Linked DNA regions of Neodiprion lecontei. The protein of the gene in region 3 purifies or fractionates together with the protein of the main gene of each other region. This does not show direct contact. Links are inferred from orthologs where the notes say so. Each region holds a gene or a part of one and is shown on either strand. Other genes may lie near its edges. The genes, in order: syndecan, 14-3-3 protein epsilon and 3-phosphoinositide-dependent protein kinase 1.

Evidence for each region.
Region 1: the proteins of 3-phosphoinositide-dependent protein kinase 1 (region 3) and syndecan purify together in Homo sapiens (affinity purification with mass spectrometry; 4 studies listed by BioGRID and IntAct, counting the BioPlex papers as one, with this or other methods). This does not show direct contact. The link is inferred for Neodiprion lecontei from reciprocal best matches to the Homo sapiens genes PDPK1 and SDC2.
Region 2: the proteins of 3-phosphoinositide-dependent protein kinase 1 (region 3) and 14-3-3 protein epsilon purify together in Homo sapiens (affinity purification with mass spectrometry; 3 studies listed by BioGRID and IntAct, with this or other methods). This does not show direct contact. The link is inferred for Neodiprion lecontei from reciprocal best matches to the Homo sapiens genes PDPK1 and YWHAE.

The regions. Positions count from the first base shown.
Region 1 is NC_060263.1:25,405,917-25,416,196, reverse strand, and holds the start of syndecan, read right to left. Parts: upstream 5,862-10,280; 5' UTR 5,693-5,861; coding exon 5,618-5,692; intron 1-5,617. Other genes in the region: ATPase inhibitor mai-2, mitochondrial-like, read right to left, coding at 6,784-6,912, 7,856-7,988, 8,338-8,403, 8,484-8,497. UniProt on the Homo sapiens protein: Cell surface proteoglycan which regulates dendritic arbor morphogenesis.
Region 2 is NC_060262.1:34,812,645-34,825,967, reverse strand, and holds 14-3-3 protein epsilon, read right to left. Parts: upstream 11,498-13,323; 5' UTR 11,369-11,497; coding exon 11,305-11,368; intron 8,361-11,304; coding exon 8,054-8,360; intron 7,970-8,053; coding exon 7,626-7,969; intron 7,500-7,625; coding exon 7,429-7,499; 3' UTR 7,391-7,428; intron 7,189-7,390; coding exon of another isoform or gene 7,133-7,188; 3' UTR 5,491-7,132; downstream 1-5,490. Other genes in the region: uncharacterized protein LOC107226083, read left to right, coding at 990-2,231, 2,435-2,602, 2,683-2,859, 2,998-3,354, 3,622-3,975. UniProt on the Homo sapiens protein: Adapter protein implicated in the regulation of a large spectrum of both general and specialized signaling pathways. Binds to a large number of partners, usually by recognition of a phosphoserine or phosphothreonine motif.
Region 3 is NC_060265.1:25,017,561-25,027,676, reverse strand, and holds the start of 3-phosphoinositide-dependent protein kinase 1, read left to right. Parts: upstream 1-4,181; 5' UTR 4,182-4,288; coding exon 4,289-4,312; intron 4,313-10,116. UniProt on the Homo sapiens protein: Serine/threonine kinase which acts as a master kinase, phosphorylating and activating a subgroup of the AGC family of protein kinases.

The DNA.
Region 1 (10,280 bases), on a different chromosome or scaffold from region 3:
TTTGGCTTCATTTCACCATTTTTTGCTGTACGACTAATTTAAAAAAAAACGGTAGAATTTTCCGCCATGCTGCTATTTTGTTATTAATCTCTATTGAAAAATTCAAAAATGTTCTTGCAACTATAAATAATAAAAGCCCTCAAACTCAAATTGCTCGAAGTATTTTCATCCTCTTAAAAAAAAAAGAAAAAAAAGATTTGAAAAGCATAGAGAAGTTACGGGATAAGCCGTGGCTGCGGACACAACTTAGCTACGAGATCGAGTACATATTTACACTGTTAGAAAGGTTTGCGACGAGCAATCGATCCGCGACACCGAGGAGGGTCAACGAGGACCGGACGTGCAGCAGGGATAGGTTCTTTTTACCTCACCCAAGAAACTGTAAAGGATATCTTTCTTCTCTTTCTTTATCTGCGTAATGGACGCTACACGAAATACCTCAAACATCTCATCGTATTTCTCGACATGATCTTACAGCTTTGATACACATGTTTTTTGTACATCGTAATACGACATCATATCGTAGTTTGTTATACAGTTGACAGCGTTCAGGGAGGATAATTTGGCTGGCTGCTGGATAAAGAAACGCGGGAATGAAACATGGGTGAAGAATCTGTGAACGGAAATGAACGATTAACTTCAAACAAAAATTCATTGTGAGGGCTCCGGTCGTTATAATTATATTCACGGGTTATACGCTCTTCGTTTTTATCGATCGAGTCGAGTCAAGCTGCAGGTTGTGCAGGGCTGAACTCGCCCTTGCATATTGTTAGTTCTGGCGCACCGCACTGCACGTTGCACTTGACATTATGCGATTGATGAGGGAAACTTTGGAGTGGGTCGTAGAACGAACAAGTCGTGCGATTAATTGAAAGTACGGAAATCCACAAAGGGGCGAGTAACGAGAAAAATATATGAAGAAAAAAGTAAAAGAATTAATGCATAGATATGAGTGAGTTGGTGAGGTTGTATAACGGGAAAAAAAAAATTCTCGCAGTCCAATTCCCTGCAAACTTATACAAGTGAAATATAATTACACCTACAGGGAATCGGAATCGCGGGGCAAGGAGGTCGCAGGTAATTGAAAAGATATATGAATTTCCTTCCAACTCTTCTTCTCTCGCTTTCTCTCCGTCTGTCCTCTTCTTCTTTTTCCTTTCTCTATAATTCCCAGTCTAAGTACACCGCGTCGCCGCGACAAGCCAGCGATTGAGGAGATACAAACGCAATTTCGTTATAGCGGCAAAGATCCGGCATTAGCGAGGTTAAAATGGTGTAATTACAGTCGGCGTGGGCTTCTGGCGAGAGGGATCCCTCACATTAGTACGACAATCGTTTCCATTGAATCTTATACTATTCCATGTGGGTTGGCCCAACCGCTTAAGGCTGCATCTCTGCAGACGTACAGTCGAGTGAAAAAATTATGAAACAGTTGAATATGAAAATCAGGGTTTCAAAGGTGGGACCCAATTTGATTAATATAAATTGAATTGTATGTGAGAACTATGTCTCTTCTTTGAAATAAAATCATTGTGAAAAAGAAAAACACTGCAAATTAAACTTGAAAAAAAAAATCTATTCATATTAATGACCTTACAAAGATATCTTTTTATTGTTTTCTTGTTTGGAATGCCATGCTCGTGTTGTTTCTTTGTTATGGATTAATAGCAGGGCTAATTTCGTACGTATAAGTACGGGGGATACTCTAAGGAGATAACCAGAAATAAATTTAAAATAACGTCTCAATATGCTTTTTTTTATTGAAACATAAGTTCGTTAATCATAGCCTATACCGTCTTGCGTAAATTGGTTTTATTACACAAATTGAAGACCGACGATGAAAATCGATCTCGGTCAATTTGTTAAGAATTAACTTTGGAACGAACAAAATCACTCGTACCTAAGATTCTTGTTGATAAGCGGACTTTGCGTAGTTGAAAAAACGTGAAGCAACGAAACTTAAATTGAATTCAAATCGATCGACCTTGGTAGCTATTTACTTTCAACCTTCGTCGTTGTAACACATTTTTATTTGGATACTTTCGTGTTTGGTTTGTACGCCAGATCTACGTTTTTATAAATACGCCACTGCCAAACCAGCCAACGAACGAATCACCTCTCACAGGCACTAACACACGCACTTTGCACCCTATGCAAAAACCGAGTGAATCACGTGAGGGGTGTCTTCGTGTCCGCAACCCTCGCGAGCAAAACGAATATCCCCCCATCCATGATTTACGTAAAGCAATCATCACGCGCGTGATGAAAGTCTGTTCCATCGAATATTACACCGAAAGACTTTGCTTGCATCCTTATAGTTTTTATGAATAATTGCCCCTCGCCTCTTTAGCCCCTGTGCCAAAAACGCACTTTGAGTATCGAAAGAAAGAAAAATTTGACTGACTGGAAATTCCATCTTTTACTAGGATTTTGACGACATTAAACAAGTTCGTCGCTTTTACCTGTTAGTATGCCAAGTACGTACGTGATTCATTGATTACACTAAATTCTAAACGATGGTGAATGAATTGCAAGATGTGTAAATGGAAAAACAAATTCGTTGTTTTATTATTTCGAACTACTCTCCAATCGCAGTTTGTTAATCCTGGTCGTTCGGTTTTCTTTTCCAATTCAAAATGTTATCTGAAGCAAGCATATCGGATTGATGGTACAAAACATGACGTTTTCAATAATCAAACTTGTAAACTTGAAAATTAGTCTAGAAGGTCAAAAGTCATCAGGTCAAGAACCTGGACGGCCAGAACTACGGAGCGCTTTTCCTGGATGTCAAAATCCACCGGGTGGAGGACCTGGACAGCCAGAACTACGAAAATTAGTCCTGAAGGTTAAAAATCACCAGGTCAAGGACCTGGGCGGCCAGAACTACGGAGCGCTTGTTCTGGAAGTCAAGTTTCACCGGATAGCGGACCCGCAGCGCAGGGTCCAGGAGGTAGAGAGAGAATCCGGTACTCGAAATCTGCCGAGCGCGATTCTCATCCGTCCGCTTTACTGCGCGATTGTTTCGAGACTGAGGAATTCGGCTAGCTGATTTTCGTCGTTACGATTACTATAGATGGATGACGTCGAGAGAAAAAAAAATTTTGGATGACGTCACTTTCTGAACATCCGAACATCCAAACTATGGTTTTCAACTTTAATACTATGTATGATGTATGATGTGTGATGTTCACTCGTTTGCAAGAGCACTTCTCGACCCTTTTGTATAATCATTTGTGTTCTTTAACTCATGTTCGCTCACCCACCTGGAACATTTTCTGATAGTCAAAATTTATAAAATTCGGAGGCACTTTTCCACATGAACGAATTGCAAACAGATTATCAACTTTTTGTCCTATTTCTAGTCAAGTATTTTGCTTTATTATTATAGTCTGCATAAAAAGTACCGTTCTGTGCGATTGCAAATTCAAGGTTTTCAATAATACCCACTATAAATATTTTTTCTTAAATTCCCCGATTTTCCCTCACCAAATTATGAATTTCTCTTGGGTAAAATTCCAACTAGTAGTACGAATTGGAGTATCGAATAAATAAAACTCCGAACTAATCAGTTGTCAAAAATCCGTGTATCCATATATTTAAGGGTCATGAAAATGAGCACGTGAGGGAAAATATTTTTCTTGTCTAGTCTCTACTTTTCTATCATGCCACTATAAAATTCCCTCACTAATTACAAAATGTTTTGTCCTTTCCATAAATTGCCTGACCACTTTGCGATTCCGTGTTTTTCTAATTAGTCAGAAGCTACAGCAACACCATAACTGAGGTAAAAATCATGATTGGAATGTAATATGTTCTGAAAAATGGATTATGCAACGATGCATTCTTGTATACGCGCGTTTCCGAACGCTTATGTAGCTGGCTGGAAATATATTCCTTGACGGCAGTCAAGTAGAAAACTTCCCTTTAATAGAATAACGAAATTCTTTAATATTTACGGAAGTTACCGCAATTTTCTGGCGAGTCTAATCTGGTCTGATACAACCGTCATTTATTTATTTTATAACCCATAACGTTTTCGTAACATTTTTTCTCCCATGGTGAAAAAGTAATAGAAACAAAACCATCTTTCATTGGTACGCAAATATACAAACTACTAATACAAATACAAACTAAGAATGGGTTATTTTACGGGGTTTAAGTGTATAAAGTTAAAATATCGAAGCATAGCAAACTAACAACTACGTCTCACAAAATATAAGTGACAGGCTTTGCTTAGTCAAATTCCTAATTTCAAGCTTCGTTTACAGTTGACTGCATCAAAGAGGCGATTAACATGAAAAATTTTCCTCAAGTCAACGTTACGAATTTAAACCTCGTAATGAAATGTGTGAAAAAATATAAAATTCACTTTTATTCGTTTCTTTGAACATCGCGGTTAAAAACGTCGAGTTTTTTGTTGTGCCATATTGCAATTTGCACGTTCAGATATGGAACATATTTTCGGTTTTGATAAAACGCTACCGTTCACACTGTGAGAAAAATAACGGTGTCAATATAAGTCCACACTGATTAGTGTAAAATTAAACATCATCGATGTAAATCGTTCGATTCTGGTCACCAAGTGGTTTTAAAATCAACACTAAAATGGTGTGAACTTCTATAGAATATTTTCGTTGTTACATATAACACCGCATTTCTAACAGTGCATCAACAGAGTTCGTGCAAAAAGCAGTTTACAAAATTCATCGCTTTCCACATTATATGTAATTTAAAATAGTTAAATACAAAACCCATCGTTTGTACAGTCCATAAACAGCCTTAAGTGAGATATAAAAAGATTTGTAATTTGTCGAGTAAATATGAATGATTTAGCGCAAGCATTTCCCAGAAATCATTTTCCGTCGCGGTAATGTAGCTTCGATATGAAAAAGTAAGAAAGAAACTAGGATTACCGGGTATTCAGATTTGAAATGCGACTTTTGTAATCAAGCTCCCTGACTTTCTTGACCTTCCTCCTGGTTTTCCAGATTGCAAACATCTCTCCCCGGTGTTTCATTGACGCGATTGTTTACATCTCGACGCGCGTTGCCTCGTTCCTTATTCGTTTGTTTTTACAATCGAGCATATATTATCATTTAACCATGGCCTTTCGCTATCGTTGTTATCAATTTCTGCCGGTTTTCAATCACGGGGACGTAGACCAGGATTGTATTGAATTAAATCGACTCTGCTTACGCGATGTAATATCCCGTCATCGGGTCTGGAAATATTCTTTACCAGGGCATCAGAGGGCACGAGGGGGTTGGCGGGGAGGTTCGTCGCTCCGCTTATAGGACGCGTCCGTCACACATGGTTCTCCGTTCTCGCGGAGATTTCCTAGAGCCACATCCGTATATAAGCGATGCATTTTCCCCCGTAACGCGAGGGTCGGTCAATTGATCGCGTCGTCTGCCGCGTTAGCCAGTTTTCGAACTGCTCGTAGGGATGAAAGGTGTCGAAAAAATATTCAACGAACACGGACGAGCGAGGTAAGCTTCGCAGGTATTATTCGTGATGAAAAATGAATCGAAATGCTTCGAGTGGAATGACTCGGGATGCGAGAGACTAGACGGGGTGAGGACCGAGGGAAAATGAAAAGTGACAGACGTTCACTTACCTCTGATGCAGCAGCGTTGCATCCCGATAAAATAACGCCTCCGAACGCCAGAAACAGGTATATCCTTGGGTGCATTTTTGTTTATTCCTTCGCGAGGGAGGGGGAGGGCCCTGGACTGAGCCCGAGAGTTTCACTTTGTTTCGTTAAATACAAAACTAATCAAATACAACCGAAAAACCACCAAAACTCGAGAGCAACAATGCGAACACACCACACTGATCAATGAATCCTACGACACTGAGGGCGCGACGGTCGTCCCCGCTTCTTCTGTATTTCGCGCCATCTTGCCACCGGTAGTGCCACCTGTGCGGATTTACGGCGAAGCTCTCGTGTCGGCAGAAGTTCGATCGATGCGTGACTATGATAGGGTAGGTCCGTGGCGATATTATGACAAACCCCTATAACGTTAGCAGATTATTTATCAGATGCGTCGTTGACTGAGGCTAATATTATTCGACTCGTATTGTCGAGATTTGAACTTGGGTTACAGTCATTTTCAACTGATATTCATCACTGTTAACACCTTAACAGGGATAAGAAGTTTCAGTTGTTTTTCGAAATGAATTTATATTTTTTTTACTTTGCACAGAATAGCCGCGTATTCAACGATCATTTTTATTTTGTACGCTCGTAAAGTTACGCGAGTGTACTTTGAAGTAAAATAGTTCAAAACGGTATTGCATATCTGCCTGACAATGATTTTTGAACTGCATTTTTACAGTATTTAGGCTACCGAAGCAATATCGTACAAAATGAAAGAAAGTCAAACAAGTGGAATTCCCATTTTTATAACGTGACAATGTGATAAAACCTCAGATACAGATAGTATTATACTAGCAATTGGAACTTACAAAACCAAAAATATTAGAAATAGAAAAGAATTGCATCGTTGAATTAGTTCAGTTAAAGCTGGGAGCTAGTATGCTAAGTGTGCAATAGCTCAAAGCTTAATTACAACATAGTTTTGGATGATGAAATATGAGTTCGTACAACTTTTTTAACTATGAAAAGCTGTATACTTTATTTCTACATAATATTTAAAGATTTAATAGTTTAAAAAAAAAAAATTCCATTCAAGATGTCATTGACTATCATTGACATTAAAAATACAATGATTTAATTTGATGTATGGCGGTTCAGCTATTCGTCAAATCCTGCATACATTTTTACTTCTCCATCTTTCCAATTCGAGCCTTGTGGCGCTCTATGGCCTCCTGATGACGCTTTATCTGTTCCTCGTGAAAAGAGATCTCATCATGAAGACCGTCACGCAGATTTTTCAACTGCTCCTTTTGCTAGAACAGAAAAAGAAAATTCAGTGACTGCATATTAAAGTGCGTGAGAATTATCCTATGGAATACAAATATGACGCAACCTCTTATGTTGGCTATTGAAATTTAACTTTTTGATCTTGGTAATTACTCACATATATCTTGTGAAAATGAATTTTGTAACATTTATACAATGTTGCAATTATAAAAAGTCTGCTTACTGCCCAATTTTGGGATTATATAACATTTGGTGAGGCATAATAAGGAAAAACACATTCACGGTTTGCAAACTCAACTCTTTCAAATTAATACGAGAGTTGAAATATATAAATTTTTTGTTTGATCTGTCGTTACGTCAACATTACTGATTTCAACTTCGTTATTTGGTTTTGCCATTCCAAAAGTTCAAGTCATTCAGTAAATTATTTGAGACAGCTTCGAAGTATCTTTGCTAACATAATTCAGCAATAGTAAAATATATATTTTTTCTATTCATTCCAAGCAGTGTCTCCATGGAAACAATCAACATATCTATCAGTCAATTTTGCAACAATTGCATAAACTAATTGTTGAAACATAATGACAAAGTTGAGAAAAAAAATTTTCCTCAGTTAATAGGAGTATCATGAAATATATCTTAAAAAGTCATTAATTTTATAAAATCAAACATTGATAGTGACATATAAGGTTGAAGATCACCACATCAACGTTAAGAATAATTTTTATTTTTTTTTAGGAAGAGCTGTTATTTTTTCATTTTACGTTCTTTGCTTGTAAGAAAATGTAACAAATAAAAGAATATGTTCACTTTTTGCAATCTTATTTCTTTTATAATCATTTCAAGGTTACAAAACTCTGAATTTATTTCAACTTGACAAACTCCTACTAACTTTTCATTTCTCAAGTTAATGAAGAATAGTGTTGAGGACTGCTTAAACACCTATCCTATCCTATGCTAGCGTTATACCTGATTGTAGAAGTATTGGTCTTCGCGTGCTGCTTCCATCTTGCCAAAACTTCCACCAGCTTCCCTGATGCTGCCACCGCCACCACCACCCTTTCCTGCGCCACTACCTGGTTCACCAGACATTCTCATGTGGCTGAAAAAATAGCAGGATACAATCATCGTGGAAAATCTTGTAACGAGGGATGATAGCCTACGTGGATAATTGCATGCAGTTTATTAATTCTTTAGTGATGGGTATACTTGACATGGTAGGGTAATGGCTATTTATTGAATATGTTTGTACATTTCGATCAGAAAATTCTCAAAAAATTTGTCAAAGTATATTATACAGTATATCTACTTGGCTACAGATATCGAAAAACAAACTGTTTCAAAACTCCCAGTCTTCGTGTATTTTAACCCAAAGAAATGTTCACCAGTTGAAACAAAATTTTTTATTTTGAATCGAAGAGTGTGTCAGACTTGAAGGGTTAATAAATCACCATACACTTGGAGTATGCCTAGTCTGGGTTTGGCCCCCACCACTTCTGGCCAACGACGTACTTTGTCTGCAATAGGACGCAAATAAATTCTACCAACAACGCACTTGGGGGTGACGCATTTTGGTAGGTGTCGGGTAAATACACACCTATGTACATGCATTTCTCATTGGGTTGCGTAAGGTCGTTATACCTGCTTTATTTGGATGACTGGGTTATGTAATACTATAAATTTGAGTTGACTACGGATTATGCATGTGATTCGATTTATCATTAACGAAACTGTCTGTCTTGTCGAACATTGCGACAAACGAGCAACGTATGTGCACAAGTTTTGCATTCCGTAGCGTAAATTGCTTGACAATCAGCCAGCAACTAGTAGCAGACGGCTAAAGAGCTAGAGCAGCGAAAATAGCGCAGGGTGAGCCGGTTACGCACCGTTGTGCCGGGAGAATAATTTCGATCTGTCGATCTTTGGTACGGTAATCATAATAAAATATTGTGTATTTTTTAGTACCTGAGAAACGCCATGTTCCGCGATAAGACAGTTGGTATACGCTGCATGTTCGATCAGGAATTCAGAAACACTGTGCAACACTACGATGAATTTTCACAGATTTATGAAATTATGTTCGAAACGTGGGTTATGAGTGAAGGAAGAATACTGACTGCCGAGGAATGTCCACGAACTGGACACGACCGTTAGTTACAAAATTACCCGTCATAAGCGGTGGCAGCACTGCAGGCTACGATGACAATAAGCAAATACATGAAAATTGCACCATGTATTCAGAAATCGAACCACCGAATCCGTTGACTGATGATATATAAAGACCTTCAGCTGTGAGCTAATATTTCCACCATCTGGGTGGATCCGTAGGTAATTCTATTGCTCTGCACTTACCGACCCATCTTGTGAGATTCGAATGTTAAATCGAGTCGGCAAAGCAAAATACTGCAATTTCCCGCCGGTCTTTTTTGACTCTCCTTACTATACCTTTACATAAGATTACCAATCCTTATATGTATATCTTCGTAATGTGTAAAAACGGCATAACTTTCAGTACAATCTTTGAATTTTTGACTCCAAAAATATTCTGTAAGGTTGTTGGCAGATCGTCACCTACTCGATATATTGAAAATATTTTAAGTTTACAATTAGATCGTCTATGAAGCTTCGTAAAAGCATGAAGACAAGTCAGTCTTATGGTCGGTCTCTACGCGATTCGATTTATACTTATGCAAGTAACCCCGATTTTTGTAGCAATTGCAATTTTTGTACAGTTATGCTATTTTGAGTTTACAATTTCTTTCTTTATCGCAAATTTGATTCAGGGGTGCAATGCAAACTAAATCTTTCAAATTATTTCGGTGATACGTGTGAAATTAATAAAATGTTATAAATTAATGAAAAATTACTTATTTTCTCGATAACTTTGGGATTCGTTGATAAAAATGAAAAACGGTAGACCAAGGATTGTATAATTTTTCTTCTTATATATACACAGTGAATAAGAATGTTTAACATTCAGCTTTCATGAGAATCCGTGATATCACGTGCTTGAAGTGATTATTTTGGCAAGGGATTCTTGACGCATAAATTTCGAACTTCCTCGATTAGTGTAGACAACGAAGGGTTTTCAGCTCCCAAAAATTTAAAATTTCATGAATATTCAAGGGAATATGTACAATATATTAAATACTCAACTGTCACAGCTTTGACTTACCTGCAGGTGTTATGGCTGTGCAAGCCTGTATTCACAGCTGTGTATAATTTCAGAGTGTTATTTTATAACATTCGAGAATTCATTCGCAAAAAATTTTCTGGCGAATCTTACGTGATCAACATTAACAAAATAATGTGCAAAAAGTAGCTCCAAAGGGGCTGAAACACTTGCAATTAATTATAGGGCGAAAAATTATGTTTTGGAAGAGCTAGTGAGGAA
Region 2 (13,323 bases), on a different chromosome or scaffold from region 3:
GAAGAAATTAATTCTCTTATTAATTTCTTGTATCGCCGACAAGTCTGTAACTAGACACAGGCTAAGTACTGGCGTGGGCTTACCATTGCGATAACTGTTACTCGGAAGGTGAATGCAGCCAGCCTCATGTCGAAATCGGTAACTCTCTCATGTTCTGCAATAAGTTCTCAACTCTACAGTTCGAACAACTCAAGGGGCGCAAGCGCACGTCGATTTTCGATTGTCACACCAAAGCCCATTAGAGCAACTGTATATTCTTCAGTCAACGGTACGGCTTTCAAATAATAGTTTTGAAACCCAATCCGTTCCACGCGCTATTATCATGGTCGTGTGTACTAAAAAAAGCTAGCAGAAATATTGTGAGTCAAGCAAACTTTAGGAATGTTTAGTTGTCTCTCCAATCCAATGTCAAAAGCATTCTGTCACCCAATCAGAGACACCTGTCATACAAACGTTCTCAAAATGTAAATAAACAGAATGTCTGAAGTAATAAAGTCGGTTAACATATTTCAAATTTGCATCGGTCGTGACAAAATACTGAACGAGTCAACCAGACTTTTCTGTGTAGCAAACTTTTTCTCATAAGTCTCCTGATTTAAAGCTCAAGGTAATTCATACCAAATACTGTTTAAACTACATGCCATACTATTGTATAAACTGGGGTTACGATTAATCACACAAACTCACACTGGAAACCACAATTCATGCTTAGGTACACATCAACTCATAATTAAATATTTATTCCTATAGCACAATAAGATCTTCGTAATTAGTGATATCTTTACAATGAATTATGATGTTCAAATTATCGCATTAGAAGTTAGAAGTTAAAAAAATTTAAACTATCACCTTAGAAAAATAAACCACACTATCTTTATTTTGAAGCTTTTGCATCTTTCGGTTATTTGAAGCGTCACTATTTTTTAGTAACAATTCCTGGAAAATTGGATCCATTCGTTTTAAGAACAAACTATCGACAAGCCGCAAAAATGACGAGGCGTAAGAACCACCGTCGAGCTCGCCAAAAGCAAATTCTCCAAGATTCTTGTCTTACACTGGATAAATCAAATGAAAATATTGAAATTGACTATCTTGACCAAAGTTTGGGAGTAGATCATGATACACCAGATCCAAATCTAAGGACTCCTGAAGCGGTGATGTGTAATTCCCAAAATTCGACTGACCCGTTGCATTTTAAGGATCTGAGTCCAAAGTTAATTGGAAAAATTTCAAGATCCAAATTTGACCTTGAAATACCAGATTGTGACACCAGACAAATATTGAACATGGAATCCATCACAAAGCTCGACATAAGCTTCAAAAATGTGATATCAGAGACGCAACGTTGTGACGATACTTCCTCCATGTTGAAGGATATTCAAGTTGAACATAGTCATACCAATCTCGATAATTATCTAATGAATAAAACTGTATCTCTTGACTCTGCTGTGATAATCGAATTAGAAGCCGAAGGCGCAGCAAGGTCTGAAACGCATGACAACATTGTCAATAATACGCAAAAAAGTAGCATAACTCTTACGGCTTTTGATCAGCCTAAAAATAACGAATTTAACGAGACTAATGACCGCTTTAATTTCAATGATCTGAACAAACAAAGTAATTCCGATACATGTATCTTGGAAAAAAATAGCCCTTTGAGTTCAAAGAGCTGCCAAACGAATTCTTCAGTGAATAGATGTTTTAGATTTGAATGTAACCAAGGGGGGGAATATTCAGAAGCTGATAAAATGTTGCTGAAAGTAGATGAGAATTGGTACAGAAAGAAACAAATATTTCCAAGCTTGGAACAATTAGACATTCTGCACACACAATCTGAACCTGGACCGTTGCCAACTAATTATATAAATGACAAAGCTAGTAACACAAACTTGTGTGACCAATTTAATTCACAGTCAACATATTATGACAATGGAGATACTTACTGCTGGTCAAATGCGGATGGAGATGACGCAATCAATTATTCGAGAAGTAGCTCACCGCCAGCCAAAAGGAGTCGAACAGCATTGCATTTTGAAAGTGAGAACAAGCCAAAAACATCTATAGCTCACCCCCCAAATTTAAAATTTCAAAGTAAACCGATTGCTACGGAGCAGGATGACAGTGAATATACTATAGCTCTGAAAAAATACTGCAGCAGTTCCTCGTGCTCACCAGCATCTGTTGACTTGCCAACAGTATCAGATTTGAATGCAAAAGTGTCTGCGTCAGAGGTAAAATATAATTATTCCTGTTTCAGTGTTGAACTGAATTTTAGCTGTATTAATTTTGACACTGTTTGGGAGCTCTAAGGCTCTCCAGGGCATCCAAAGTTAAAATTTTGATCATCATAACGGTGGTACGACGAGAAAGTGCTCTCATAATCTGCCGACCGACAAAATGAATTAGCTATTTAATTTTTGAACCTTTCTCATAGATAGAATCCCAGGAGCTCCATTATGCCAAACCACATCCAGACTGTACGTACTGCCTACGAATAGCACAACCTCCGGCAGTGCAAATAAGAGCTGTAATAGTACCTTTAACCAAAATTACAGAGTTTTGTATATGGATTACAAAAAAATTTGTTGAATTACTTAGAAAGGTAAGCATAATATATGTAAGCCATGTTACATACGACTTTAAGTCTTCTAAGATGGTAACTTAGCTGCTTCTTTCCTAAAGGGATGGGTATGGCTCCAAAGTATAGCTGCAACCAATGTACGAAAACCTGAAAGAAATGACTCGGATGAAATAGTCGACAAGTTGACTCAATTAGTCACGACGATAAGATGTGAACACGAACAATCAATATCAATGTTAAGTGAAAAAGTAACGCAACTTACAGCAGAGCTGAATCAGGTATTTTCATTTCATTGAAAAATTGACAACTTCACTTCGCCAACATTACATACTAATTATAAATTTAAATTTTATCTAGAAGAAATGCTTATCACTACATTGAAACTTGACACTCTAAATAAATAAATGTTGTTATAGGTTCGAATGCAAAGTGAAGTGGCATTCTCAGTCTTGACCACAGAAGTTACTGGCATGCGCGAAACCAATATTAATCTTGTGCAAAACAACACGATTTTATCAGATCAATTAAAGTCAATAAACAGTACGTTGGAGTGTACACATGTGAAATCATCCTTACCACCACCGCCACCTCCGCCACCTCCACCACCTCCACCACCACCATTACAGCCAATAATACCCACGACACCAAAGAGTAGCAGGAGACTCAAAACACCCACTAGAAAGTGTTCTACTCCATTACATCAGAGCAGACCAGCTATTACAGTAGAAGATTTGTTGAAAGTTACTTTGAAAAAGGCAGCACCATCAGCCAAGGTAAGGTCTTAAATTGTGGGGCTATAAAAATGATATTTTTCGACAAGGCATAAAATTTATTTATTCTATACTCAGAATATCGCGAATGGTCAATGTATTTTCGTAAGTAATTTCGATTTCTGTATTTTGGTCCAATCTTTACAGCTGACTCTAATCAAGATATTTCCAAAGAAGTCATCAATCATCAATTAGATTTACCAATGAAACATGCTATATAATACAAAACCTTCCATCGAATTGAAAAAAATCATGAACATTCACTTCCAGGAAAACAAATTGCACAAACCTGTACACCCTCGTGGTCCAGCAGTCTCGCTGGACATGCTACGTAGTGTGAAACTAAGATCGGCAAGACGTAGATCAATTGACCGGAGTTCAAAATCACCAAGAAGTACATCACTGTCAACGAGAGCACGTTCTCTCACACCTATCAGTTTGTCTCCGATTATGGCAGGGATAGAAAGTCCATTGGGTAGAATCCTTCGACAGGTGGACATCAATAAACGAGGACCAAAGCGGGCTTTATCCAATTCAATGTACAGTGATGTAGAATTGTCCAAGAACAGTCCCCGCAATCTCAGCATAGTAAAACACAGTAAGTCTGACTCATTGATGATATAATGCCATACAATTTTTTGATCATATTAGGACTGTGAACATATGAAATTAGTAGACTAAAATATAAATGCTCAAGTGAATCACACTTGAGAGACCAGTGACCTGGTCTAGTTTACTAGAATTAAGAGCACAGCAAATTTTACTGAAAGATATTGTGAGAAGATTATTATACATGTATAAAGAAAAAAAATAATTCAAAATTTTTTTGGATGAACAAATAACGAATTTTACGAAACATAAGTAAGCAAATATGATTTATATGAGATGTTCGAAAACATTTTTCAGGTATTAACTCATGTATAAAATTAGAAGATTAGAATTAGCGACCTGGTCTGGTTTACCAGTACTAAGTGTACAGAAAATTTTTTATTTCATGACAACGGCTCATGCCAAGTTTGTTACTGAAAAATATTGTGAGAAGATATTTATAAAGAAAAAATTATTTATGTGTAATCAAGATACTAGCAAGATAATTCGAAAATTTTTCAGAAGAACAAATAACGAATTTGACGCAACTTAAGTAAAGTAATAAATAATGATCGAAACGTGGTGTTACAGAAAAAATGGAGACATTAACCCATGTATAAAATTAGAAGTTATTCTGTAATTTACTTAACTTGTGAAGTATATGTACTTATTTGAATTCCGTGGAAGATATTTAATTGTATTAGATATCAAATTTTATATATATTTATATTAAACTGAAATAAGTTACCTCCTTTCGTTTTATAAACAAGAAAGGGCGTTTCTTCTTTTTGTGTCAATCAGAATCAACAATGCAGAATCACTTATATTGTACAAGTAGACTGTTGAGTTTTAGAAAATTTAAATAATCTGTGATAATGATACCACTGAAACCCGAGACACATTCGTTTAGTATCAGACGTGAATTTGTATGTCCTTTTATCATGTAATTGCAGATAAACATCCTCGAATAAATGATGTGATAATAGCACGAATGATATTTCAGTCATGTTGATTATATCAAAATATAATGTGACAGTTATAAATACTTCAACTTCAGATCATGTCTACTTTTAATATTTCGATACACAATACAATGAGTGAATTGGATAAAAACAAGAGGGAAAAATATCTCCATATTATATTAGGTGAATCAAAATTCCAGACACCTAAACTTACTTCATCACCTTGGAATTTCTGCGTTTGAACATCTTGAAATTAGCAAAATACATAACAACGGACGATAGTAATGAAAAACAAAAAGATAATGAGCATTTAATTACTACTAGTTTGATTCAATTCCAACTTAATTCTCTGTCACCTACACATATACAGTTATAGATATGTCCATGATCTAAATTGAATTTGGTTAATATGATTGGGCTGTTACTGATACATCATAAAAGTACCTGTATATGACACAAACACCTTTGATTTCAGCAGAGATAGCAAATAGTTTCAATTAAGATTAAATCATTAGTTGCAAACCTCAGTACTTCGCAAGTCTACAGTATTGAATTAATTCCATCGAAATTCAATGAACAAGCCACAAAATAGACAGTAATAATGACTTTATTTTCAGTTTTCATGTGTGGCTTTACAGGAAAAGTCGTAATTGGTGTATTGTATTAATTTCCTAATACAGAGTGAACGCATGCGAATTCCAAAATATGATTTACTGGTTCTAAGTGTTTATCGAATTGCGTGTGTGTGTTGCCTACATTGTCAGCATTGGCATTTGTCTTATTTTCACGTTATTTTTTTAAATGTCTTGTTTTTAGATTCAATAATTAAATACCCCGTGGTATTTTCATAATTTTACAGTATATAACGTTTCACTATTGCAAAAGTTAATCTTAATTACTTCAATCGGCTCCTTGTACAATTAAAATTATTATTAATATACTTACTTATGGTATTATCAATATTATTTAATGTTATTCTTTGTAATATATTTATAATATAATTAAGAATTAATATTACTGCTATAATACTTAAATGTAGGGGCACGCCACACACCAATTTCCACAAATTGTTTCTCTTTCAATTTTATTTTATTGTTTCTTTTAAGCATGCCCGGTGTCCGTCTTGCAAGCGTACGCTTAATTCAAACTCTTACAGATTTTACGTAAGTAAAAGTATATGAGGAACAAGAGATATTGTGGTACTCTCCATGACATTTTATGATCAACGAATGCAATACAATGAAAAGTTCACCATCAGATGTTTCATGCAGGATTACCAGACATCAGCTTCTTCACAGAAATACCTGATATTTACGTAAAATCTCCAGAAAAAGTATTAAGCTACGTGGATAAGACGAAGAGAAAGAACGAAAAAAAAAGGGATGCGAATAAAAAGAGAGCTATTAGTTTCTCAATTTACGAATTGATTTTGAAGATTCACAAATTGATAAGTTTGATTATTAATTTACGTTGATGTACATGAATATAGGTGATGATGGATAAAATAATTTATTTCAATGCGCCACATAGATACACGTAATGTTATGATTATAAAAAAAAAGAAGGAAAAATGAAAAATTTTGCATTAGTAGCAAAGTGTTCGTATTTTTAATGTCTCAGCACGTATCAATAGCATAAGAATGTTTGTAAAAAAAAAAATGGTAATAACAATTTTTTTTCTTACACGGAGTAAATGTTAATGTTTATGTTTTTTTCTAACCTCTTCTCATGATCCACGTTAATGATAGTTCAACTACATTTTTTTAAAAGATTACATAATTATTGATTATCAATTAGGGTCTCGGCGCATTGGCATTCAAGAATTTGGATCCAAGCGTACGCAATGTAGAAAACTACATATAGCAAATTGGTCCCCAGGACAACAGTGTAAGCTACACTCAGCCAGGAACTAATATTGCAACAGGCAGCGGATTTTCACTTTGTTAAATGCTTGTAATCTCACTAATACGCAGGATGCGTCTCTTATACTTTTTCTGCGTGCTCCATAACTCAACAACATGTGATTGGATGATTTTGGAGTGAACGCATGTGTGTTTTACCACACGTACGACCACATGATAGCTAAAGAGCTTCCCTCCCCACCCTGAACTCCCACCCGCTGTATGTTTTTTTGTTTTTTTTTGTTTTTTTTTTTTTTTGCTTAAGAATTATTAACAGTTTTTTTTCTTTCTTTCATTTGTATGCGCGAATGACACTCACTGCAACTTAAGTTACGACACGTCCTGGTCTTCCACATCATGCAGCTGCTCTTTCTGGTCGCCTTCGCCTATTACAAAAAGTAGCTCAATTTTATCTTTGAAAACTTAAGTAGTAATACAAGAAAATACAAATTTTTTATCAATGATAATTTTACCTAAAAACTACAGAGAAAATTATCCTATTGAAAATCTCATAATTTGATTGTTCGATTCAATTAACAGGTGTTCTTGGTTTAAATTGACCTTGATCAGCAAGGAGATATTTCTAACCTGATGATGGTATAAGGAGGGGGAGTTGGACAGTGTTCTTAAGGATGGGAATCACTTGTAATGGGTATAGCACCATCTCCTTGAACAGTTGGCTGCTCTACTTCAGATTCTAGATATGAAATTGAAAATGCCCCATCTAAGACTAATTCTTTTTATATTGTTCACGAATTTTCAAGATTTAGAATATCATTTCATAAACCCTTATTGAGTCAATAGAACAATAACTATGACTTACCGTCCGCCTGCATATCCGAGGTCCATAAGGTGAGGTTGTCCCTGAGGAGTTGCATAATGAGAGTTGAGTCCTTGTAGCTCTCTTCTGAAAGGGTGTCCAATTCAGCAATAGCATCGTCAAAGGCAGCCTTTGCAAGGCGACACGCTCTATCGGGACTGTTCAAAATCTCATAGTAAAACACGGAAAAGTTAAGAGCCAGTCCAAGGCGAATAGGATGAGTAGGTGGTAATTCTGTCATTGCGATGTCGCTCGCCGCCTTGTATGCAACCAGTGAGTTCTCGGCCGCCTCCTTCCTGTCATTACCAATTGCAAATTCTGCAAGGTAACGGTGGTAATCACCCTTCCTGTAACCGAATCAATGTTTCTCAGTAAAAATGTCATATGGAAAATGAGATAATGATAAAACAGAATAAATTTACAGTCCTTACATTTTGTAATAGAAGACTTTAGACTCGCCGGTTGACGCGCAGGGGATAAGATGTTTGTCCAAGACACCGAGTATGTCGGCACAAATGTCTCTGAGTTCTTTTTCAACTTGCGAACGATATTGGCGAATCATCTCCAATTTTTCCTCAGCCCCTTTGTTCTCTTCTTTTTGCTCGATACTAGAGATTATCCGCCATGAGGCTCTTCTCGCACCAATCACATTTTTGTACGCGACGGACAACAAGTTCCTCTCTTCGACGGTAAGCTCCACATTGAGGGATGCTACCTTTTTCATCGCCTCGACCATCTCTGCAATACAAATATTATGACTAAAGTTCAAACGTTTGTCAAATTTATGACACATGATACAATTAACTAACATTGGATTACAAATGCCAGGATGCAGTTTTGCTTTACGGAACATCTTTCTCAAGACAAGAGCAATAATTTTTTCACACACTTCTGTTTTTAGCTGATGAAAGATGTGTAAAAACGAAAATGAAGACTTGATGAAGAGGACAAACAAAGTTTATTTATCTCGTGTTTTCTTATTTTTATCTAAGTCAAGAACTTATTAGGTGTCACTAAGGGGTCAAAAATAGTAAGTTAATTGGTAGCTATTACTGTCAAAATTAGAATTTTTTCAGAGCTAACGAATAAAAAAAATCACTTACAAAGTTACATGCATATAAATAAAATTCTGAGGTATTTCTGATTCATAAATCATTCATAGATTTCAGAGTACCATGTCAGTGATTCCGTGATTTTCGGAAATACTGGGAGTTTCTGAGGTAATTGTCAAATTTTTTGATCCAGAGTTTGCAATCTACACCATTTTATTCACTATTTCATTATTTACGTAGAATCACTGTGATATAATTTTTGAACTCCAGTTGCTCCAGCTGGCATTTCATTAAATAACATATAAACCAGAGGTCCAGTACTTGGTTTGTAAATCATGTATTGAATAATTCGAATTTCTTGATAAAAACTTCTCTACTTTATGTAAAAGAATTGCAAGAAAAAATTAGCAAAAGGAAATAAAGCATTGTTTCACCTTTCTTAACAAGAAAATTCCTGCAACAATTCGAAATGCCTATAATACAACAGCAAAATTCGTCTCAATGTCCTTTAAAATTATTCTGTTAAAAAGATCAAAATCAAGATCCGTTTTCTCAAAATTGTTAGGTCATTGGAGATGACACGTACAAATATGCGTATAAAGCATATTTTACTGGGAAATTTAAAGTGTCATATAAGATTTTTAAAAGTTATCCTTAAAAGTAAAGACGAAAGTGGAAAATTAGACATCTTAAAATCTAATATGTGTTGACATCTTAAACGAAGAAAAATGAAACTTGACACTATAGCAATGTAACAACTACGATTAATGTAAAAGTTTTACAGCTGTTTCTTAAAGCCAAATAACGGAACAGAATAGCAACCCTTTGCCTTTAAATGAAGTTTAAAGTCTCTTGCAGCGAATGAGAAACGGTAGCAAATGGACCTGCAGATAAGTCCTTGAGAGTTCTCCAACCAAAGTAGCAATTTGAAAAATGGAAATATTATCGTTATGCAACGAGAACTTAACGAGGATTAAAAAAAGGTGAGACTCCTTCAAGCAATCATTACGATAAATCAATATTAAAATTGTGTAAGCTAATCAGCTGTAATTAAATGCACATATAAAACAATCAAAACGAATAATTCTCTAAAATGCATAAAATACATGATTGATGTAGCATAGTAATTCCTTTTATTCAATGAATTGATAAGACCAGAGAGTTAACACGAATAAAGTACATGGGCTAGAGAGTGTACAGGGACACAGGATAGCAGGCACAGATCAATACTTTCCTTCAGCTACGACCTCCCTTGCTTCACTCATCCCCTTGCCTGGTTCTCCCTCTGCCTGCTTGCTCTTACTACCCTCAAAATTAAACCCTCCACTGATACCCTTTTTGACTGAGATCTTCTTGATAAATATTTTATCTATTCAAATATTTGCCTAGTCATTAATAGGTTCATGCTGTGATTGGCATCCAATCAAGATTAGATTAATAATTTTACCTAAAAATAATGTACTTATATATTTTTTCCAAAATCACAGCACGTATATTTGTGAAGAAGATTAGTGATATCATGAAATATCGTTTGGATCTGAATGAAGATCTAAGTGATTTGCCATCACAGATAAACTGTTGCAACATTTTAATGGGTTTTAGCTCCGTAGTAGGGCGGATTTTCAATTATCTCTTCTGTTCGTTCACGGAGCTCTTAACAGATAATATACAGCTCATGAGGTAATGCATGTTCCTGTCAAACAGTGAGTACCAGCCTACTACATAGCATGTATTTGCCGGAGTAATCAAAGAAGACGACATTGCGTATACGCAATTGTTCTCAATTGTAAAAGAAATCGGGAAAAGTTGATGGTAGTGTTTTTTTCGTCGTTCCTTTTCAAGAATTCGTAAAACGGGACTTGTTCTTATTGTACTGTTACTTAAAACGCAATGATGTAAATTGAAACAGCGATATCGCGTGTAAACGACTGCGCGAAGATGTAGAGCGTAATTTTTGAAGGCACCACAGACGGGAGGGGGGAAAAGTCCCCAAGCGAATAGCCATACTTTACTTTGGACGGGAATAAAGAAATGATGGAACTCTATAGGACGAGACGCGACATGGGGACAAGGTTGAAAAAAAGAACCAATGAAGAAGAAGATAATCCCGATAAGTTTGAGGGATTTTATGCCTAGACACGAGTTGATAGATACGTGCGGTTAAAAGCTTTGCCTTCCCATGTCTATGCGTCACTCGAAATGCGGTTATCGCACGTTCGATTACACGCCTAGCAACGTTGTCCCGAGTCACTCGGCATGGATTATGATTAACGAGGCATAACCACGACGAACTCTAGAATTATTCATTGCTGTAATTAAAGTGCCGATCAAGAGTAGAGAAACGCGTAGGAAGCAAAAGGGAGGGTCACCTCGAGGGACCGGCATTGCGCGCGGTAGGCGAATTTGTCAGTTCTGACGTTTGAAGTTAGATTTTGACAGTTCTTTGGAAATAAGTGGCAAAAAAAAGTGTGCAAATACATGAGAGGACGCCCATCGTCTGTCAAGTATAACAACCGGAAAAATTGACCACGGAATAATTAGCTGTGGAAAGGTTTTTTCGTGAGGTCATCGACGAATTTCACCGAATTTCTGTTGGAAGCCGAAAGATTTCGTTAAAAATAACGACTCACCGTCATAGCGTTCTGCCTGCTCGGCCAGTTTTGCCTTGTAGACATTGTCCTCCCGCTCCGACATCCTGGATGCTAGCGGATTTCACGGGGTCGCTGAAAGGATTCGAGAATTCGCACTAGATACGTATCACCGAAAAACGGACACCTCCTCGGACGGCTGCTTACAAGCTCACTGACCAAGATGGCGGCGCCCGCCAACAATCGAAAGCAGTCCCATTGGCGTAGGTTCGAAGACTCATTGTGATTCGGCCGTGGAATGTATTACTACGCGTGACGTCACGTTAGTGCCGTATGACGATGAGTAGGTCCGCTTTCCAGGTAAATCCGCCGCTTTAAAATAACTTCAATCCCCCATCCACGATAAAGATTAGTGAATTTTTCTGCAATGATACGCACCGGTTTAATACGAATGCGAATTTAACACTTGTAATTAGTAATATTATTACGAACTGTCCGTCAGAAAGCGAATGCTGATTTTCACAAATAGCCAACAGAGTGATTTGAAATGTTAAAGCCCGGCGGGCTGTAAGGAAGTTTAAAAATACACATGAAAAAATACGCGTGTATTTTTACGTATGTATAAATGTATACCTGTATACTAATTTATACATCGCGCACGATGCGCATATAATAAAATTAGTTTTTATTGACGATAGGAAAACATTATTTATAAAAAAATGTCAAGAGACTAGAGTGGGGAATGCGGGTGTTGGTATGAACCTGTGATCAAGGATATTCAATAATCTTGTCATGGAATAAAAACTTCATATAGCGAAGCAGTTGTATTTTTTCTTCTTCAACGAATGCCTACTATACAAGCTCTAATATCCAAATATTTTCGCTATCCAGATTATCGTTATATTTTTTTATTTATTTATGTTTTTAATATTATTTATTTAATAATTATTTTGTATTTATATGTATACAGATAATGTATCATCTTTTCAATAATTATCAACAGTTAAAATTAGATTACAGCCTGGGAATAATCGTACGGATTTAACATAACAGTACAACATACTGCAAGTAGAAATCTGTAGTTGTGAAAATTTGAAGATGAATCACCCATTGATCTATCAAGGTGTCAGCTAGTGATCGACAAATGGCAATCTCATCGAGCTTCAATTTCCTCAAACCCTCACGATATGAATCATTCAAATGTTCATTTTTGGACATTCATTGGAGAGGAATTTGTAGTTAAAAGCTGGTGGGCAATGTCATCCGACTTTGAAGTACAGTCGTTGGTGCTTAATTCTTTGATTGATATACATAAATGTAAGAGATGTTGAAATTTTCGTTTCTGAGCCTAGATAATCTCGAGGATAATCTGCGATTTGAAAATTTATCATGTCTAATTGTAAGTGTGATGACACTATTGAAATAACAGTGGATCGTAAACAAGTTGAAAGCGGACAAATGAATTCCGTACAGTCTGTACTTTCAATTCATCCGATACTGATACAAATCAAGTTCAAATTATGTAATCTTAATGAAAACAGTCCAACACTATTATGTAATTCCAGCAGGGAATAGGGATACACAATAAGTTCATTTCAATAATAATAATAATGGTGATAATAAAGTAATAATATTAAATAACAAATGTAAATCTGGGACAGGAAAAATTCGTAATAATATTGTATACAAAGCCTAGTTGCTTCCCTAATTAAATATTTTGGAAGCTCACACGCCACCTTTATTTTTATTTCAATTTATTAAATTATATCATATTTGTTTCTGTACTATGTATTAGTTGTGCAGCATGGGAATTTTAAGCATCCTCTTTTCTTTAAAATTTCAGCCTGCAAGACGTTGCCAAGTAAAGAGTACCGCAAAAAAAAAAAAAAAAATACTATATGCAATTTTAATAAGGGTAAAATTCATTCAAAATAAAAAGTAATAACTTTCAAGTCGAAAACTACTTTTCAAACAGTGAAACTTTTTATAAATCCTATGAAATAATTTTAGTTCATTTCTTGATGCAAAGGAAATTCGTCAAACAAACAAACTCCAACGAAT
Region 3 (10,116 bases):
ACCGAATATCGATCGATCTCGCGTATACCTGTGTATACAGGCTACGGTTGTAAGAACGCGAAACTCTCTTCAAACGTCGACGTTTCCAAGGATTCACAATCCCTGCGATTGTCCTCGTGATTGAATAAATATACATAAATTTATATTATTATACACAGGTTACAAGCGGCACGCCTCGAGTAGCTGCACACACTGGTGACGTTTCAAGATTACGTCTACGCGTTATAAATGATATGTAATTCAATGTACGTTACTACATATTATACTCTTACGATCGATGAAGTGAATTATACGTAGTAGGGATTTTTATTTTTATTTCTGGGCCACGAAATTCGTTGTTTTATTTAAACGAATGCGCGTGAAATTGGAATTATTCTAACAATTCGAGGAGTAACATTCAACTCTTATTATTCATACATAAACATAAACACTTTGACGCGTTACGTAACCTACCGCACGACGAATAATATTATTATTTTTTTTTCCCTCTTGATAACGTCACCATGCTGATTTCGCGATTCGAGATAAGAGTCAAACAAAATATGACACAAATACCTGTTACCATCACCGCGGTTGCGTAACCGCGATATAAATCGGATTTCGATACACTTTGAGATAATGGGATCAGATCCAAATCATGGCCGTAAGTCCGGCAGGCAGCGTATAGCTTTCGCGTCAAGCAATAAGCAGCATAAATCCAAAGAGCTATCGGCGTATTGAAATTTTTCACGAGGTTGTTTGGTATCGAAGAGAACGATTAGCTGTTGCAAATTACAAGTAAATAACAATAACAAAAATAACAACAATAATAATAATAATAATGAGTTGTATGCATGTACGTATGTTTCTTTTCTGCCCGATGATACAGCCGACGCCCACGCGATAGCTTAGCTAAAGCCGATGAATCACGCGTCAATTTTGAAAAAGAAATACACTTAAAATAAAATAACAGGCTGATTTGCGATCCACGATCACCGGCGGGGATGGCGATAAGGTAGTACAGAAGAAAAAAAGAAAAAGTGAAATAAAAGAACGACAAATACGCGATTGAGGAATGAATGAGGGAATCGAAGCGGACTAGGGGAGACGATATGAAATAAAATCGCCTACATGAAAATCGTAATTTACGGAGGAATTTTTTTCCTCTTTCTTGTACCTGTATGTACCTACCACACATATATAAGGATGGGTATAATGTACGATACATCATGGATATGGTACACGCAGAAACTTTGACTGCGTATATATATATATATATATATATATATATATACCTACACATACATCAAGAATATTCAACAAATGTCGCGAAATATTCACATAGTTGTACCCCGCAAAGACAAAAGCATTTTCCATAAATCTTTGGCTATTTTGGCACAAGTCGTATCGCGGTAACGCGGCCTCGCATTATATTACACGAACGACCGTTTTCTGGCGAAAATGTCATTTGTTTCCTAGCAATGCGGCGGTATTTTCATTCGTTGACAAGTCTCATTTATACACGGTGAATCGTTCCATCAAGATAAAAAATAGAAATATTTTTTTTTTTTTTTTTCTAACAGAAAAAAAAATATTGAAACAGTTATTTAGAAAAATGGAAAGAAAAATTCGGGGAAAGAAGAGAGTAAAAAAAAGTGAGAAAACAGTTTGTCAATGTCTGTCCGGATACCCGCACCTGATATTTCTCGCCAGCGGAAATACACGCTAAATCATCGCTTCACAAGGGGATGGCCCAATCGCCCACAGTTCTAATTGTGAGAGTCATAGTAGCAATGACATAGCGCTTTGGTGCATAGTTATAAGTGGCACGGTTTAGTGGCCTATAGTTCCATGGAACACATAAATAAACGATGTACACAGACTGGAACAGCCCAAATTTTACGTTTTACAAATTCCGCAGAAAATTTCGTACTGAAAATTGCACGTTCCGAAAAAACCTGCGTTATTGATACAGTGAAACGCCTTTTTTCTTGCATCAGACAATGTGAAAGGGTGTCGAGTAAATTAATCCGCAATGCTTAATCGATCTCTGTCTCTGTGCTTTTCACAGGAAGCAAGAGACACCTCCAGCTTTAACTCCCGTAGCAGTGTGTCGCCTATTTTAGGAAGAGGATCGGTGCGCCCAATCCTACGATTCCAAGCTTTTTCACATCATAGCAGAATCGAGACTGCGATGCTTCGATTTCAACGCAGGGAATTTTTATCGTGGATGCGATCGGTATGTTTTTATTTTTCTCTTTTTCTGCAAGCGCGAATAAATTTTTTATGATCTTTGTTCGTTTGGATTTCTGCACCCTTAAAATTGGCACTGAACCGAAACTCTAGGACTTCAAGTAATACGGATTAGTCTATAAGTTTTCAACATAGATATGATGAAAAAACTTGTCACGATACCGCAAACCTTATGTCACTAATTTTTCAGCCTATTTTCGAATGATCGTTTCAGCGAATTGGACAAAATTGTTGCCTGAAATGTTGCAGAAAATCTTCTCGATTTAGTTTTTTTCAACTCTACCAACATTTTGCAGCTGCATCTCTTTCGATTCTTTTTCTAATATTGTATTGCATTCCTTTGGACGAATTAGATACAAGGCATTTTTGAGACCTTTATTCTATACGGTTTTTGGAATATAAAATTTTCTACTTCGATGATTTCCGATGCAAAACATATTTTCAACCGACTGTAACTTCCGAAAGCCAAACTTGATCATCAAAGTTAAAAATTGGAATTGTTCTCATTGAAAGGCATTGTTTAAATAAACAACTCGAAAGTGTGCAGCATGCTTAGAACAATGAAATTGTGCTCCCAAATTGAAAAACCAAATTCCCGCATTGTAATAATCATTTCGTACATTGCTGTCTAACTTAGGCACATTTTTATTCTTTCAATTCACGGAATGAACAACAAATTAATTTCAATCGGTATGATCACGGCGAACGGGGGGAGGGGGGTGTTTACTATTCTCATTTCTCTGTTAACAGACTCCTTACTTCACCGCGTCATGAAAGTATAACTACGTTTCGCTAGGCTGCAACAGCCCTCGTTGTTTATTGACACCGGGGGCCACAGATGCCTTATTCTTCTGGATAATATTTTACAACACGGCCTGTAGTGTCGACTATACCGAATAGAGGCAAAAAATGTGAAAACGTGCTTCGGTTTTTCAAGATTTTAAAAATTTCTTTCGTCCGAATTTCTCACGAGATATCCGTTCGATACGTTATTTGATATATAGTATAATAATTCCACTTATATAATAAACATATATGTACATTAGACTGTCTCAGTCATCAGTCTAATGTACATGAATGAAAGAAAACTCTTAATCGTAACGGAAGTGAATTCGTGGCAGAATAATGGAAATGAAAGTAATAAATTTAAAAAAAATTGCATATACCGCCGAACCCGAAGGAACAAATCAGCGGTCGGACGGAGTTTTAAAAATGTTGCGTATCAGTGACCGGGTGCGCCATCTACTCGCGTTGTGAGGAGGTGTTTAAAAATGGTAGTTTTTACCGGCGCAATCGGTGTGCGAGTTGGTTGAGCGCATAGCGAGAGGCGAGCCAACATAACCCAACCTAGCGTAAACATAATCATCACGGAAGCGAGACTGGAGTGCGGAAATCGTTGGGAAACGGGCGAACCTAGATCGAGCGAGGGTCGCGATTCGGGCGAAGATGCACCGTCGTCCGTAGAGGGGGGGATGATAGAATATTTGAAAATTCTGGGGCGCCGATCAGGCGTTAAGAGAGGGTTGAAATACGGCCCGAACCTTCCGTCGAGGCGACATACAGCCGCGCACCGTCTCGCGAATCGTCAAATTTCGCGTATGCGGATGTGGGATTCTGGATCTTACCTTGTCGGTGGGCCCTGGGAGGGCCCTGGGAGTTCGGCCAATGCTGAGGAGCGGCTTTGTCGATCGCGGCACTCGAAATTCGGACCGCGCGAATTCACTTGTCACAAATTAAAGTAACACCACTGACGGCGGCCATACTGCGATCAGGCATCGCTGGTCGTCCGGCAGCTCGGCTCTGGCAGCGTTTCGGGGAATCAGTCTCTGAGGGTTCGCCGACAAGCGTCGAGAGGGCGCCACCGTGCGGTCTGAAGGTGGCTTCGACCGGCCTGCCGACGGATACTCGCCGTCGAACGCTATGGCTGACAGTTTTTGCTATTTCAAGATAGCGGTTGCGTGTGTGACGACGGTGTGCGCCGAGTGTCGCTGAACCTAAAACAGCCTGTCCGCCGCTCCTTTTATTTCTGTGCAAAGTGAACCACACTCGACTCGAGATGTCCGAGGCTCCAGCACCGATGGTAAGTGCATGACATTACCCACCGTTCCCCCCCTTCATGCCCCTGTCAATTGACAACACGCCGGTCATTCGCGCCCGGCTGTGAGACAGCTGCTGCTAAAAAATCCAGCCTCTCGTCGTCGGCCACCCGGAGCAAATTATCGTCACTCTCCTTATTATTCTTCGCCACTCGTTACGTCAAGGTACGTACGTATGCATGTACGTACACAACCGACCGCCGGGCGCACGCGCCGCCTCGTCTTCCTTCTTTCCTTCCTTCCTAGCGTCGCTTGGCTGCGTGTGTGCTTGCCTGTGTTTACGCCGGCCGTCGGGGTCAATGTGATTCCTTATCAATGCTCAGCTGTGCGGTCGGGGCCGCCTCGCCTTCCCCTTCCTCGCCTCATTCATTCCGTTCGAAACCCCGTCGGCTTCTCTCTCTTTCTCTCTCCCGCCGCCATGTGCACCCGCCATGAGGCGTGCGTGGGTGAATTACAGCATTTAAACTCCTGACGTCACGCGTCAAAGTCGACGATCGCAATTGTCACGCCACATTGTCTCGGCGTTGCATCTCTCCGTTTACGCATTGTAAGATTCGTACACACTGTGCCCTAGATTGTATGTACATAGGCGGCGAACGTAATCCTGATTACGATGTCCTGATTTATTGGAGGAGGATCGATTATACAGAAATCAGTTCTTCGGCGAAAATGTTCTACAGAAATATTTTTCTACCGAATACTTTCCGACAGAAAGGAATTCGAGATTCGCATCAGAAATAAACCTGCATGAATTATCTTACAGAAGAGCTGTTCTACAGAATATTTTTCTACGGAACAGTTTTATAGTTATACACACTCAACACAATACCCGTACTACGAAACACAAATTCAACGCAGATAATTTAAATTAAATTAGATTAAATGAAATCAGAATGTATGATTTTGAATCGATTCGATGATTGCTCCGAATTTGCGTTGTGTCAAACACAATCTGTAAAAAAATATTCTACGGAACAATGTTCTGTAGAACAATTCTGCCCGTAGAATAATTCATGCAAGTTTATTTCTGATGTGAATCTTGAATTCCTTTCTGTAGTAAAATATTTCTGTAGAAACGACTCTATAGAACATATTCTGTAGAACATTTTCGCTGTAGAATTGATTTCTGTAGAACCGAACCCCATTCGATTTACTTCTTCCTGATTGTTTAGTGCTTTTCTCGCAATGATTGTTGTCCATGTTTCAACCTTCTGGCTATTAAGCTAACGTAAGAGTTGTGGAATTTTATTTGCTCGATGTCTTATTGACGGTATTATCTCGGAATGTTGATGCATAATAAAATCGTCTTATGTAAGGTTACAGACCAAATATTCACTGCCATTGGGGACAGTCTGAACGAAGAATTTCCAACTAATCGAGTTTAAGGAAATCGCTTCTATTTTACATTCCAAACGATTCTATAGTTGTATCAGGTTTTCTGTACCTTCATTTCACAGTTGTAGATACGACTCTATGATAGGTGGAAAAATATATTTTTAGCTGACAAAATCTTTGAAGAAAGTGAATCACCTCGTTCACAGCAAATCAACGTGATTATTTGACATACCGGTACGAAATTGAAAAATAAAAACTAAATATCATATTGAGTAGCATCAATGAATTATTGAGTAAATTATAGTTAAAATTTTATCAACCATATCGTTGGATCTTTTCACATCACGCTGTTATTTTTCGAATACTTTGCTTCCGTAATGTTTTTAGTACACTGTACGTATATTCTTTCTAGAAATACGCACTACTTTTCTTCTCATCCTGATCTTATTTTCTTCTCTTTTCGTATTTTCGTATTTTTGTATTTTTGTATAATATACACGAGACGCGCGTCGTCATGCTTAAAGTAAATATTCCCTGTTCTTAAATCCCTCCGTTTACGTAATCATTTGCGACTCGCCATTATGTCCACCACACGTGCTATTAACGGGGTCTCGTATCCCCGTTATCGCTTCGCCGGAGATCGCCGCAGGTGCCTGTACAAGAGTACATACATTTTATCGTAAATATCGCAATATTATTCGCAATCGCGATTTACGTGAGATTTAGCAGGGAGTACTTTATTATTGATTGACAGCTGTGAGATTTCCAACACGTTTGATACGCAGTTTGAGTGTGCAGCTGATTGCTATATAAATATGCGCCGTTGTACCGTGAAATGTTTGGTGTTTAAATTGTAAGGAATGGACGTCGAAACAACTTATTTCAGATTTTACTCTGCATAGACCATACGTACCAATTGACAATGTATATATAGATACTGTTGTACAAACTTTTTCCAAAAATCCAATCTCGAGAAGTGTAATTAAATTTTCCATGGCGATGCACATGATCTCGTGATATTGAAAATTTTATCAGTGCAACGTTTACGATGTGTTTGGTAAGGCCTTCGGTTCTACAGAAATCTATCCTAAAGAGGAAAAGTTCTGCAGAGAATACCGTACAGAATCTCTTCTACAGAAATTTTATCCCACCATTTTATACGCTTGTCTGAAGCTCAAAATCAACACACTGATATTCTTCAAACTTGAGCACTGCTTCGAAGTTATCGAAAAGTAGGGAAACAGTGATTTTTCTACGTTTCGTTACGTTAACGTTACTAACTTCCGCTAACATCAATCTAATGAAAATGTCATAAATCCTCAAACAATTTTGCACTAATCAGCTCATTGATATTACCAGTATTAAAAAAAAAGTGACCAATTATTTCTTTAGACCGTTATTCTTTCTCTTTAGGTGTTTCAATTATTTCTTGTCTTGGCAAGCAGCGTTTTTAGCGGAAATCCGCTACCGCGAGCACGAAGGTTTTTCAGATTTTGAACCTTCCGATAAAATACGGTAAAAACCGCAAAGTTCTCGATTACGATTTTCGTGATTAGAAATTAGGGCACCGAGGCTACCGTTTTCTCAATCGCAACCCGGAAACTCGGCCGGGCCAGGCACAACGTGTATATTTTAGATAAACACAGATGCAAACAGAGCCGGCGAGGCTCACGTGCCTGTGCCGTATTTGTTATGGATTCAAGCAAGAAGTGTCCCCTCGAGATGATTTCCATTACACAAAGTTCCGGGCCGTGGCCTCAAAGTCTGCATGCACGTAACGCGCCTCGAATCGAGGATGTTGTCATTTGCGTACTATCAAGTATTCGCTTTTGTTGTTATACGTCCTACGCGAGAGTATCGGAAAATATATGGGACACGATATCGAATTTTCAAAGACGCGAAAATTTCTTTCACAGAATTTAAACATGCCCGAGGTAGCCCAAACGTAGGAGAGCCAGAGCACAAAAAGTCAAAGTATAGAATGTCGTCGGTAAAAATGATGTGATGGTTTTCTGTACTTTACTTTTACACTCTTTCACTTTTCTATATTACAAGTTTCTTACTGTAACATTTTAAAATTTTGCAAAACAGATTTTCGCGTTGTTCGAAAATTCTACATTGCGATCACGTCTTATTTTCTAATATTTCCAAATCATCACCCCCACCTTTCTGCTCATCTCCATGTCTACTGCTCGATTATAATAAATTTTCAACCGCTGCCGTCGTCGACTCGCTTCATCTCGATTAATTTTTTTCTCATCGCACAATAAACGAACTGCCGCGTAATTGAATATTCACATATTTATAGTCATCCAGCTAGAATTTTACTCGGACATTTTTACGATTATAACCGTATAAATCATCATTACTAACGCTATTTTTTCCTCATATTCTCATCCTCATGCAGCAGCAGCGGCACCAGCGGCTTTTATCGTACGTTCACGCATAGCAATCACTTATCTCTCCTCGGGATGTGCCAATAAGAATTCGAAATGATTGTGATGTAAAAATACGAGCACTTAGCTCGCGCTATGTCGCGTGGCGCGCGTGTATCATGACATACGCGCACAGGCCTCTGTCGGGGCTGCGGGTTGGATGCTCTCGGGAATTGCTAGTACAGGGCCGTTCACCCTGTGACGGCCGACCTTGTCCCGCCCCCAGGGGTTGGAGCACTTTGGCCGCTGTCTGCTGCGCAATATACACACGCTGGATGCCCGATTATTGCTTTCCTGTTTCCGCGTGCGGTTCTTCTACGCAACTCGAATAAACGGATACGCGCGAGAGCGAATCGTTGTTCGTCGGTCGCGTTAAATTTCTGATCGTCGAACGATTGCATCAGAATACGGAGTGCAAAGGTTTGTCGTCTCTTCTTCTTTTTCTGTTTCTCATATCACTCGACGTGGGAGAAAATGCGTGATATCTTCGTCTAAATTAATCCGGAATGAATATTTATCTCCGTCTCGAATTTCTCTTATTCTTGCCCTCGTCGTTTGCTTTTTATTTCTTCTCTCCACTTTCAGGCTCATTTCATCCCGAGCTATGCCACCTTCTTATTATGTATATATATACGTATTTAGCCACCTTGGGATTTACAAAATTCAATCGGTAGTCTGACGCGCAGGCGCAACACAATTCGAGAAGTGAAATTGAAATTCATCGTACTTTACATATTTTTAAAAAATTTCCTGTGCAGATCTCTGACAAAGTTGGTTAATACTAGGCGTCGCATGTTCCAATACGTATTTTGTCTGTATTCTGCGTTTTTCGTTTCACGATATCAAAAAAGTACGCATTTCTTCAATCTTTACGTACGTATCTAAAATAAATTCGACGAACAAGGTAAAAGGCAGGCAAAGAAAAAAAAATTATTCAATAATTATTAATCAATTCTATACAATCCGTTGAAATTGTTTTTGGGTTTTTTTATTTATTTATTTCACGTCGAACTTCTCAGTCGTTGATATTTGCCGCATTTTTTCGTTTCATCTCTTCTTTCTCTCGGAGGCCGGACGGACGGAGGACTAGAGTTAAGCAAATGTCGGTAAGGTATATTTAGGAAGGGTTTAATGTGAGATGAGCGCCACCCACGAACGCTTGCGGCTGACTACTTATATTAGAGGGAAATCATTTCCCACGCACCGACACGTGCAGACTGCGAGATACGATAGTAGAAGATTCGTCTATCCAGGTTTCTGCGCACTTTCAAGGTCGACCTCTCTAAATGCCACAAGCTATAGCGACTACCGCAGCAGCTCTTTTATACTATCGGGTAACCGTTTTATGTCAGACTCGTTCGTGCCAAATAACCATTATACACTTTGCACACGTAGCTGTCGCTGCTTTAAGAGTTATCCGAAATTGATCCTGATACAGACTTACGCTGATCTTCGATGATACCTGCATTCTAGCTGCACACGATCGCTTATGCTTCATTTTTATGTGGAACCATTTGAGGGACCATTTGACCTGCAGATTAAGTGACGAGTGATTGGAAGATTTTGATAATTTTACGTGATATCTAATAATTTCACTCGTTTCACGCGATTTCTCTATAAGCTGTAATACTTTAGATGATTACAATTTCGAATATGCATAGATGAATTGAACTCGGATTTCACACAGTTTTCAGTGATTTCGAGCAACTGATTCAACCGTAATTTGTGTTAAACGATCAATAGATTTTCAACCGATTTCTCGTAAGAATCACTTGATGCAAAGTGGTTTGCAATTCTGCAATAATTGAACGGTCCCTCAGAAAAAGTCTTATTCCAAATAATGCTACTCACGATATGCACTTATAAATTACGCTATCTGAAACCTGAGAATAAGATGTACATAAAATTTTACAAGGATGATGGAATTGTATAGACAAGTTTCGATACTTACTTTTGCGAATATTCTGCACCGCCGCTTTGAACCGGCTCGTGGAAAACCGGGACGTATAATAGTAAAA